Saccharomyces cerevisiae S288C: one gene and its partners. The gene in region 2 interacts genetically with the main gene of each other region. Each region holds a gene or a part of one and is shown on either strand. Other genes may lie near its edges.

What was found.
Region 1: mutations in NFU1 (region 2) and FMP52 together harm fitness more than expected from each alone (negative genetic interaction), as found in Saccharomyces cerevisiae (2 studies listed by BioGRID).
Region 3: mutations in NFU1 (region 2) and UBA3 together harm fitness more than expected from each alone (negative genetic interaction), as found in Saccharomyces cerevisiae (2 studies listed by BioGRID).
Region 4: mutations in NFU1 (region 2) and ISU1 together harm fitness more than expected from each alone (negative genetic interaction), as found in Saccharomyces cerevisiae (3 studies listed by BioGRID, with this or other methods).

The regions. Positions count from the first base shown.
Region 1 is NC_001137.3:157,885-160,784, reverse strand, and holds FMP52 (Fmp52p), read right to left. Parts: upstream 1,206-2,900; coding exon 510-1,205; downstream 1-509. Other genes in the region: YND1 (apyrase), read right to left, coding at 1-235; mannose-6-phosphate isomerase PMI40, read left to right, coding at 1,667-1,697, 1,791-2,900.
Region 2 is NC_001143.9:360,558-363,736, forward strand, and holds NFU1 (Nfu1p), read right to left. Parts: upstream 1,272-3,179; coding exon 501-1,271; downstream 1-500. Other genes in the region: ESCRT-III subunit protein VPS24, read left to right, coding at 1-260; PTM1 (Ptm1p), read left to right, coding at 2,065-3,179. UniProt on the Saccharomyces cerevisiae protein: Involved in iron homeostasis within the mitochondrion where it is involved in the assembly of iron-sulfur proteins.
Region 3 is NC_001148.4:679,565-682,680, forward strand, and holds UBA3 (NEDD8-activating protein UBA3), read left to right. Parts: upstream 1-1,648; coding exon 1,649-2,548; downstream 2,549-3,116. Other genes in the region: ROX1 (Rox1p), read left to right, coding at 129-1,235; ISA2 (Isa2p), read left to right, coding at 2,656-3,116. UniProt on the Saccharomyces cerevisiae protein: Catalytic subunit of the dimeric UBA3-ULA1 E1 enzyme.
Region 4 is NC_001148.4:295,880-298,628, forward strand, and holds ISU1 (iron-binding protein ISU1), read left to right. Parts: upstream 1-1,673; coding exon 1,674-2,171; downstream 2,172-2,749. Other genes in the region: protein phosphatase regulator GIP3, read right to left, coding at 1-768; ODC1 (mitochondrial 2-oxodicarboxylate carrier), read right to left, coding at 2,692-2,749. UniProt on the Saccharomyces cerevisiae protein: Scaffold protein for the de novo synthesis of iron-sulfur (Fe-S) clusters within mitochondria, which is required for maturation of both mitochondrial and cytoplasmic [2Fe-2S] and [4Fe-4S] proteins.

The DNA of each region.
Region 1 (2,900 bases), on a different chromosome or scaffold from region 2:
ATTTGTACGCATCTTGAGGTTTTTTTTCAAAACTCGACAAGCCTGGATTCAGCTTAAAAGTCCAGTCTTTTTCTTGATGAATATGAGGTACTGATTGTAATATGGACTGTGAGTCCTGGTTTGTTGCATGAAGAAGCGATTCCGTGTCCTGCCACTTAAACACATGGATTCTCGAACCCGAAGACCCTGCATCTATGACGATACCAAACCGATCATTAGTGTTTTCTATGAGCATAAGAGGGCAGACGGGGAAATAAAAAAAGCCACGTTAGATATAGTATTTTACTTTATACAGCTAAAACGCAAATACGATATATACGAACGAAATAACATGACGATAAATCTCTGTTTATCATCGTTTCTTTAAAGAAAATAATGAGGCGAAAAAGTAAAAAAAGCTATGATTGTGTGAAGTTGTTGAAAATCCGTAATTCATTGAACCCGTACGCGCGCAAAAGTACGTCACAGTAAAATACAACTGTAGCTGCGAGAAGAAGCCGTTGGTTGATTTAGGTAGCAATCTTCTCCAGAGAAGCTGAGATGTCAAGAATGTCCTTGCTGGAGACAAACTGAACCTTGTCTTTCCCAGAAGTATTCAACGCCAAATGAACACCAACTTTTCCTACCTCATCGCCATAAACTGGATAGCCTAGCAACCTCTGGAATCTAGAACGGTACACGCGAGTGCCCAAAGCAGCAGTCAGATTGCCGCCAAATCCGCTTTGTTTAGAATTTGTCCGTTCACCAAGGAGAGGGCCTGGGCGCAAAATTATAATGTGCTTAAAATCAAGAGCGATAACATCGCGTTCAATCTCGCCCTTCATCTTCATGTAGCCGAACCTGGAGTCCGGATGAGCACCAGCGGAAGAAACGAGAACGATCGTTTCACATCCTTTTTCCTTGGCAGCCTGGGCCAATTGTAAGTTTAAATCATGATCGATCTTGTATTGCTTGTCCAAACCGCCTGCAGCTGCCCTTGTCGTTGCCAGTGCGGTGAATAGCACCTGCGGATTCATTTCATTGGTGATCAATTGTGACCACTTTGAATTATCCCTTTCTACTATGGCCACAACTTTATCAGTGGCCGGAAAGGGCAATTCCCTTCTCAAGATCGCGTATACCTTAGAGAACTGGGGTGCCTCCTGTGCGTGCCTCAGAAACCCGCCTCCGCATAAACCTGTAGCGCCTAATACCAACCCATTCATCGTTGCTTGTGCTCTTCTATATAATCCATCCTATCTTTCTCATCAGTAGGAGGTCGATCTTATGCAAAGTTCGCCACCAACAGCTGCAGTTACATCATATCGCGGAAACTCCGCACTGGCATCGTGCCGCGCGACAAGCGCAAGGATGAGAATCATGAAAACCTTGCTACAACAAGATGCCAATAAAGTCGTTCCCTGATATAGCTAGTACTTTGCGGGAGTAATTTGTTATTCTGCTTTCTTTTGCACTTTGATCATGCCAAGTCTCGTGGTGCACTATCCATTTCGTGCTGCTTGGTTATTGTAGCAATTTTTTGTCGCGTCCGTGTCCTTTTTCGCCGCGATTTACGTATTTAAATATACACGTCGCAATCTTAGTATATTTCTGTATAAAATGTTTGTTTCTTGTAATCATTCAACACTAAACACGTAAAGAACATCAGACCAGAAAATTTTAAAACATGTCCAACAAGCTGTTCAGGTTAGATGCAGGTATGTGCCATTTTTCGTCAAATATTTTGAATACTTTGAGTATTTTTTTTTTTTTTTTTTGGTACACTAACTAACGCGTACGACTCTATGTAGGCTACCAACAATACGACTGGGGTAAAATCGGCTCTTCTTCAGCTGTCGCTCAATTTGCTGCCCATTCTGACCCCTCTGTTCAAATTGAACAAGATAAACCATATGCAGAGTTATGGATGGGTACCCACAGCAAGATGCCTTCCTACAACCATGAGTCTAAGGAATCCCTGAGAGATATCATCTCCAAGAACCCCTCTGCCATGTTAGGTAAGGACATTATTGATAAGTTCCACGCCACAAATGAATTGCCCTTCCTTTTCAAAGTTTTGTCCATTGAAAAAGTCTTGTCTATTCAAGCACATCCCGACAAAGCCTTGGGTAAAATATTGCACGCTCAAGATCCTAAGAACTATCCTGATGATAATCACAAACCTGAAATGGCCATCGCTGTGACTGACTTTGAAGGTTTCTGCGGGTTCAAACCTTTGCAAGAGATTGCAGATGAATTGAAACGTATTCCTGAATTACGCAACATTGTTGGTGAAGAAACTTCCAGGAATTTTATTGAGAACATTCAACCTTCTGCTCAGAAAGGTTCCCCAGAAGATGAGCAAAACAAAAAGCTATTGCAAGCTGTTTTCAGCAGGGTCATGAACGCTTCGGATGACAAAATCAAGATTCAAGCTCGCTCCTTGGTCGAAAGATCAAAGAATTCTCCATCAGACTTTAACAAACCTGATTTACCAGAATTAATTCAAAGACTGAATAAACAGTTCCCTGATGACGTGGGTTTGTTTTGTGGATGTTTATTGTTGAATCACTGCAGATTGAATGCTGGTGAAGCCATCTTTTTAAGAGCTAAGGATCCTCACGCCTATATAAGCGGTGATATTATGGAATGTATGGCTGCTTCTGACAACGTAGTTAGAGCAGGCTTCACTCCAAAATTCAAGGATGTTAAAAACTTGGTCTCCATGTTAACCTATACATATGATCCTGTGGAAAAGCAAAAAATGCAGCCTTTAAAGTTCGACAGGTCCTCTGGTAACGGTAAGTCAGTTTTATATAACCCTCCAATCGAAGAATTTGCTGTATTGGAGACTACTTTTGATGAGAAACTTGGTCAAAGGCATTTTGAAGGTGTTGATGGTCCAAGTATCTTAATCACTA
Region 2 (3,179 bases):
GGATTATAAGTGAAATGGTGGATGATACCATGGAGAGTGTTGGGGACGTAGGGGAAGAGATGGACGAAGCTGTTGATGAAGAAGTTAATAAGATAGTTGAACAATACACAAACGAGAAATTCAAGAATGTTGACCAAGTGCCAACCGTAGAATTAGCAGCCAATGAAGAAGAGCAAGAAATTCCGGATGAAAAAGTTGATGAGGAAGCAGATAGGATGGTAAATGAAATGCGTGAAAGGCTGAGAGCTTTGCAAAACTAGAGTGTTACTGTGACTGTACAAAGAAAATAAATAAATAAGTGAATAAATAATGGTACGAATAACACAGTAAAAAGGGCACCCGTTTTTAGTGTATGGAAAAAGTTGAGTGCTTTACCCTTTTTCCATGATGACCGTTGAAACATGTACGGACTATCAAGTAATAGTGAGGGTAAAGACAGTATATACACACTTCCTTTTATTTTCGTCTCATCTTGTATTTTCATTTGAAGGACGGAATATTTACTTTTCATGGCTTGTATTTTTACTCGATTCCAACTTTTTTTCAAGCTTATCAAATTCCTTTAATGCTATTTCTTGCTCAGGATCCATGATCTGAATCACTTCTTTCACTTCATCCACATAGTGCTTCAACATGGACTCAATACCGTACTTCAAAGTCACTTCACTAGAAGAGCATGAGGTACATGCACCTTGTAATCTTAAATAAACGGTTCCAGTCTTTGGATCCCACCCACGGTAATCGATATCACCGCCGTCCTCCAAGATGGCTGGTCTTATTCTTGTATCTATCAGCTCTTCAATCAATTCGCTGACCTCTTCATCTTCTTCGGTAAGTTCAAATTTGGGCATATTTATTTTGTAGCCACCTTCTCCTTCTTCTTCTTGGACAGCATGGAATTCTTTGGATATAACATCTTCACCGTAAGCAAGTTGCTTGGTTAACAAATCTATAATTTCAGGCTTGATACTATTCCAATGGACCATTCTGTCTTTATTAATAGTGAGAAAATCATCACCTATCATTAAAGACTCCACTCCTGGACACTGCAAAAAAATTTGCTGTGCTAACTTGGAATGGTTGATGAGGTTTTCATCAGTGTTCTTAATAACTATACTCTTGGAGCCACGCGTCTGTAGCATCTCGCCATCTGTGGAGAGAAATTTTAAAGCATTTTCATTTGGAGTTGTTAAAGTCTTAATATGAATTAATCTCTGAGAATTTAAGTAAAAAATCGGAGACTTCCCCAATTTAGCCACTGATTTGAACATTGTTAGTCAATTTCTTGCTTTTTTGCTTAGATTACGCTGAGAATGCCTTATGTATTCTAATTAGTCCGCTAAATACGCTTCTTTTTATAATGATTAATAAGCAATATTGTAAGTAGATCACTGAAATTCGGAAAACTTAAATTATTTATCACTTGATACGTTAGAAGGCTATTTCTACAATCACCAGGACTCCGCTAAGTGGTCCTATAGATTTGATGAAATGCCTGCTTTGACGGTCTTGATGATACAAGCTAACGCTTAGCATGTTACTATACTCAATGTACATTGTTTTATCCTCAAGAGACCGCAGACGTTTCAATTTTGTGTTTAAAAGAACAATGGACAGTATATACGTAGTGCCAATTTTCTTCTATGGTGTATTATGCGCATTGAACATTGTAATATCCGTAATGTTGAACATAATTTGGGAATTGCTTCCGAATCTTCAACCTTCATGTATACCTCTTTTCGGCTAGAGTGTGGTACTTTAATTACTGCTTAGTTGTTTTGCCCGATTTAGATATTGCACCCGTGCACGTCACACATAAGCTTGGTCTTTTAAATAGTGTGTGAAAAAACGAACTTGAAGAAAAAGATAGAGCAAGATATATATAGGAGTAGGAATAGGGAGAGTGGAAAAAAAAACTTAGCCTCAAACTAATAGTCAAGAGGATCAACTATTCTGTTCAGGTTTTGCAGGTTAAAAATTGAAATAGAATATTTTCTCGGTAATTTCAAGAAACAGCTGGTAAAAAGGCAGTAAATTTACAGAAACTAAGAGTGTAAGGGCACAATGAGAGTATATCAGTTTTGCCGACCTTTCCAATTATTCACCTGCTTCTTATGCTACCTTCTAGTGTTCGTAAAAGCTAACAAGGAAAAGATAAGTCAAAAGAATTATCAAGTATGCGCAGGTATGTATTCCAAAGAAGATTGGAAGGGCAAAATAGACCCGTTTATATCATTCAATCTTAAAAAAATAAGTGGATTGAGTGATGAGTCTGATCCAGGCTTAGTCGTTGCAATCTATGATTTCCAAGACTTTGAGCACTTAGGTGTGCAATTGCCGGATGAAGAAATGTATTATATTTGTGATGATTATGCAATTGATATCGGGATTTGTGAAGAGGAGAATCGTGATGAGTTTATTGTTCAAGATGTTGTATATGATCCATATACTTCCACAAATAGATCTTTGGCCAATCCAATCATGACGTTTTCTCAAAATGAGGTCGGCCTTCATGATACTAGATACCCAATAAAAGAAACCGGATTTTATTGTGTTACTGCGTTCAGATCATCGACGTCTACCAAGTTCAACGCTGTGGTGAATTTCAGGAATGCTTATGGTCAGCTTGCGGGCACCGAGATCAACAAATTGCCACTATATGGTCTTTTGGCGGTCGCATACGTTGTGGCGATGGCGTTATATTCCTTCGCCTTCTGGAAGCACAAGCATGAATTGTTACCATTACAAAAGTATTTGCTGGCCTTTTTTGTATTTTTAACCGCAGAAACCATATTTGTATGGGCTTACTATGATTTGAAAAATGAAAAAGGTGATACTGCGGGAATAAAAGTTTATATGGTGTTCTTGTCGATATTGACGGCTGGTAAAGTTACATTTTCATTTTTCCTATTATTGATTATCGCTTTGGGCTACGGTATCGTGTACCCTAAGTTGAATAAAACGTTGATGAGGCGTTGCCAAATGTATGGTGCGTTAACTTATGCAATTTGCATTGGATTTTTGATCCAAAGTTATTTGACCGACATGGAGGCACCATCTCCACTAATCTTGATCACCTTGATTCCTATGGCGCTTGCATTAATCATATTTTACTACATGATTATTAGATCCATGACAAAAACAGTTATCTATTTGAAAGAGCAAAGGCAGATCGTAAA
Region 3 (3,116 bases), on a different chromosome or scaffold from region 2:
TGCTTTCTTTTATAATTTTCGCATATAATTATACATTTACGGTGTCTTAACTCTCCCTCTTCACCCCTCATTATTCCAGAAAATACTAATACTTCTTCACACAAAAGAACGCAGTTAGACAATCAACAATGAATCCTAAATCCTCTACACCTAAGATTCCAAGACCCAAGAACGCATTTATTCTGTTCAGACAGCACTACCACAGGATCTTAATAGACGAATGGACCGCTCAAGGTGTGGAAATACCCCATAATTCAAACATTTCTAAAATTATTGGTACGAAGTGGAAGGGCTTACAACCGGAAGATAAGGCACACTGGGAAAATCTAGCGGAGAAGGAGAAACTAGAACATGAAAGGAAGTATCCTGAATACAAATACAAGCCGGTAAGAAAGTCTAAGAAGAAGCAACTACTTTTGAAGGAAATCGAGCAACAGCAGCAGCAACAACAGAAAGAACAGCAGCAGCAGAAACAGTCACAACCGCAATTACAACAGCCCTTTAACAACAATATAGTTCTTATGAAAAGAGCACATTCTCTTTCACCATCTTCCTCGGTGTCAAGCTCGAACAGCTATCAGTTCCAATTGAACAATGATCTTAAGAGGTTGCCTATTCCTTCTGTTAATACTTCTAACTATATGGTCTCCAGATCTTTAAGTGGACTACCTTTGACGCATGATAAGACGGCAAGAGACCTACCACAGCTGTCATCTCAACTAAATTCTATTCCATATTACTCAGCTCCACACGACCCTTCAACGAGACATCATTACCTCAACGTCGCTCAAGCTCAACCAAGGGCTAACTCGACCCCTCAATTGCCCTTTATTTCATCCATTATCAACAACAGCAGTCAAACACCGGTAACTACAACTACCACATCCACAACAACTGCGACATCTTCTCCTGGGAAATTCTCCTCTTCTCCGAACTCCTCTGTACTGGAGAACAACAGATTAAACAGTATCAACAATTCAAATCAATATTTACCTCCCCCTCTATTACCTTCTCTGCAAGATTTTCAACTGGATCAGTACCAGCAGCTAAAGCAGATGGGACCAACTTATATTGTCAAACCACTGTCTCACACCAGGAACAATCTATTGTCCACAACTACCCCTACGCATCATCACATTCCTCATATACCAAACCAAAACATTCCTCTACATCAAATTATAAACTCAAGCAACACTGAGGTCACCGCTAAAACTAGCCTAGTTTCTCCGAAATGATTTTTTTTTTCCATTTCTTCTTTCCGTTATATTATATTATACTATATTCCCTTTAACTAAAAATTTATGCATTTGGCTCCTGTTTAATAAAAGTTTAAATCGCCTCAAAAGAACAATTGAAAAATATGTAAAATAACAGCAAATAAAAGTCAAAATTAAAACAAAGTACCCAGAGACAAAAAAGAAAGAAAAGAAAAAAGAAACAGTCTACAAATTCTATTTGAATATATAAAATTATATTCTCAATTTTCACGTATATATTCACCTCACAAATAATATCATTCCTTTAAAAAAAAATATGTATTATTGTATAATGTTTCAGCATAGTCGTTTTTTAAGCCCTTTTTTTTAAACTTAAAAAACAAATCAATGAGATATTGTATACCTATATTATCGATAATAAAGCGACGAGGATGGACTGCAAGATATTGGTGTTAGGCGCAGGTGGTCTAGGATGCGAAATCCTGAAGAATTTGACAATGTTAAGCTTTGTTAAACAGGTTCATATTGTAGATATAGACACAATCGAGCTAACCAACCTTAATAGACAATTTCTTTTTTGTGATAAGGACATAGGCAAACCGAAAGCTCAAGTGGCAGCCCAGTATGTAAACACGCGGTTCCCTCAATTGGAAGTTGTGGCGCACGTACAGGACCTGACCACTTTGCCCCCGAGCTTTTACAAAGACTTCCAGTTCATAATCTCGGGGCTGGACGCCATTGAACCTCGTCGCTTCATCAATGAGACTCTCGTGAAGCTTACCTTGGAGTCCAATTATGAAATTTGCATCCCGTTCATAGATGGTGGAACAGAGGGGCTCAAGGGACATGTAAAAACAATCATTCCAGGCATCACTGCATGCTGGGAGTGCTCCATTGATACCTTGCCCTCGCAGCAGGATACTGTGCCAATGTGTACAATCGCCAACAATCCTCGCTGCATTGAGCATGTTGTGGAGTATGTCTCAACTATACAATACCCTGATTTAAATATTGAGTCTACGGCGGATATGGAATTTCTGCTGGAGAAGTGCTGCGAAAGGGCTGCCCAATTTAGCATCTCAACAGAAAAATTATCAACAAGTTTTATCCTGGGTATAATAAAGAGTATCATACCTAGTGTAAGCACTACGAATGCGATGGTTGCAGCGACATGCTGTACGCAGATGGTTAAGATTTATAATGATTTAATCGACCTGGAAAACGGCAATAATTTCACTTTGATTAACTGCTCAGAAGGGTGTTTTATGTACAGTTTCAAGTTCGAGCGGTTACCCGACTGTACTGTTTGTTCAAATTCCAATTCCAACTAGTATTACTAATGAATAATACCATCCGCCGGTGTCACTTGTTTAAACATCTTGCAAGTAAGTCGAGATCCTAGAGAGCCTTGTACATGTGATTGCACAGTAAAGAAGGTATGCAGGCTAAATTATTGTTTACCAGACTAAACTTTAGACGTCCCTCCACAACTTTACGCCAGTTTCCCCTAACATGTTTTTTATTTCATAGCAAAGCATTTTACTCGGATCTGGTCACTAAGGAGCCGTTGATCACACCGAAAAGAATAATAAATAAGACGCCTGGGTTAAACTTATCTATTTCTGAGAGGGCTTCCAACAGACTAGCTGAGATCTACCGCAATAGTAAGGAAAATTTAAGAATTAGTGTGGAAAGTGGTGGATGTCACGGTTTCCAGTACAATCTAACTCTAGAACCCGCTACCAAGCCAGATATTAAGAATGATGTCAAAGACAAGGAGTTTTCAGACGACCTTGACGATGATGATTCCAAGGATATAATATACGTGTTACCCGAAGATAAGGGTCGAGTGATAATTGATAGTAAATCACTAAACATTTTGAATAACACTACACTGAC
Region 4 (2,749 bases), on a different chromosome or scaffold from region 2:
TGCCACTCCTCTCATTGGTGATGATATCTCCTTCACCCGTGGATCAGGAGTCGCAACTGCTTTAATGCCACCAGACTCATTCTCAGTCGTGCTAGTATTAACAACAGGTAATGGTTTCTTGGCAGTGGAAGCTGAAGAAGAGGTAGACCGTTTGCTAAACAAAGATCCAAAAATCGACCTTTTAGTCTTTTCTCCACTAGTCGAGTTGCTTCTCTTGAGAGTAGCATTAGATGGTGAAGAAATTGGCGGGTGCTTTCCCTTGCCAACAGAAGAAGATGCGGTGGCGTTTATGGCAGAACTGGCCAGTCTTGGTTTGGACGAGACCACAGCATTGGATATAGAAGTGGAACGTTTTTTCCTTACAAATTGAGTACTTGAGCCGTTGTCATCATTATCTATAAGGTCTATGGCGTCTACGGTAGCCGGATTATCAATGTCAGCGGAATCGCTCCGGTTACCGCTATTAATAGGAGTAAGTAGCGGTATGTTATCAGTGTCTGATGCAGAGGTATTACCATCGTTCCTCTTCAAATCTGGTTTCTCAGTATTACAAAGTGCTGCATTGGATACAGATGACGACCTCGCACGAGGCTTATCATTGCTAGACCTGTTACCACTCGTGCTATTGTCTCCGTTTTTCGAAGAGGACGTAGATGAAGAGGAGGCTGGCGACGTAGAAGGCCTCGATGGCTTCGTATTTGTCTTCCGTCTACTCTTACCTTTATACAACCAATCTACGGGCACATCGAACTCGGTGTTAGTTATCATAACCTAGATGCTATCTCCACTCCCTATGCTTGCTTTGGTGGACTATTGTTTCCGTTATTCGCAATTTCTATAGGACTACTATAGATTATATAAACTGAATTTTAGCTTTATGCTGTGGTGTTATTTCCCAAAACACGCTCTTCTTTCTTACGCTTTCCGTTAGCTTATTTGCTCACGGTATCAAGATTACTTTTTTTTTTTTTTCTTCTTTTCTTTTTCTTGCACTACCCTCTTCTTCTTGTTCTTCCTTGCGTTTTTACCCCTCTTCCCTTTATTTTGCAGCAAAAAGAAAGATGGAAAGGCAAAAGTGAAGGCATGATGATGACAAACTTGAAAAGAAAGAGAACAGCGAAAAGAGATGAATAATCCATGGCAATGACTGCACGCTCATGGGTATCAATTGGCTAGGTCTAATATTGTTATTGTTTGGAGTATGGCGTAGAGAAGTGGTTCCTTAACCTTAATTAATGCCCGTGCCATGATGATTGCATCACTGAGACGTAATGTGGAAACACCACTTCTCGGTCCGCGGACATCAACCGAAGGAAAAATGACAAGCTATTTCCGTGTATATCCGCGCCAATCCCTTCGGGGCCGAAGTTCGGAGGCTTTATCTCCGCTTAGCCAAGGCCGTCAAAGGCGATAAGGTGCGTTGCACCCCAATTAGCCATGGAGAAGGAAAAAAAAAGCATGTATGATCATGATGATGCAAAAATTGAGAGGAAAAATGACTCAGGCTATTTATATAAGTAAATGAAAGGGTTTCGTTGTAGCCTTTTCTGCTCTCTTCCTTCGCTCTTCCGCATATATATTTGTGTTCAGAGATTATTCTTAAATCCATAAGAACATCCCTTCATATAACAATTGAATAAGGAAAACACAACACATAACACATATTTAACCTGATGCTTCCTGTTATAACGAGATTTGCAAGGCCTGCTCTGATGGCCATCAGACCTGTGAATGCCATGGGGGTTTTGAGAGCGTCCAGCATAACGAAAAGGCTTTATCATCCCAAGGTCATAGAGCATTATACACATCCAAGAAACGTCGGCTCATTAGATAAAAAATTGCCCAACGTCGGCACTGGTCTAGTGGGTGCGCCAGCGTGCGGTGATGTGATGAGGTTGCAGATCAAAGTCAACGACTCTACTGGCGTTATTGAAGATGTCAAATTCAAAACTTTTGGATGTGGCTCCGCCATTGCCTCCTCTTCATATATGACTGAATTGGTACAGGGGATGACCTTGGACGATGCGGCAAAAATTAAGAACACTGAAATTGCTAAGGAGTTGAGCTTGCCCCCAGTCAAGTTGCATTGCTCTATGTTAGCGGAAGATGCGATCAAGGCAGCTATTAAGGACTACAAATCTAAGAGAAACACTCCAACCATGTTATCGTAATGAATAAGAAGATAACCGGGACAAGAACAAGATCAAACCCTCACTAATCAACAAGTTGGACTTAATTTGTGCAAGCATGGATGTTTCTCATTAATATTGTCATATTTCTTTCCCTTAATCTAGCATTTCCTTTCTCTCCCTCTTCTCATGCATATCTTCCTAGATATATTTCTCCAGGGTGAAAGCGGGACGGACGTGCTTGTTTTACCTCACCTGGTACTACTAGTATTTTCATTACTCTTTTTTCATCCTCCCACTTCCCCCTTATATATTTGTTTTCCCATGTGTGGTATATGGCATCATTATTATATAAATATTCTTTAGTTGTAAAAGGCTGTTTTAATTAACACTATTTATCGCTAGACAAAACTAGACTTTCATTATTTCCTTCATTTCAACGCTTGTTTAAACATGTGCTAGGTAAGCGAGTTTTTTACTTTTACTTCCAATAAATATATATATATATATACGTATACATGTATGGGCGGGCTACAACAAAATGAAATAAAAAGCGTCAGGATCATTGTTTTTTACCATACTTGACTTCTCTGAAAAAATCCATGACGTTCGTGAAAACT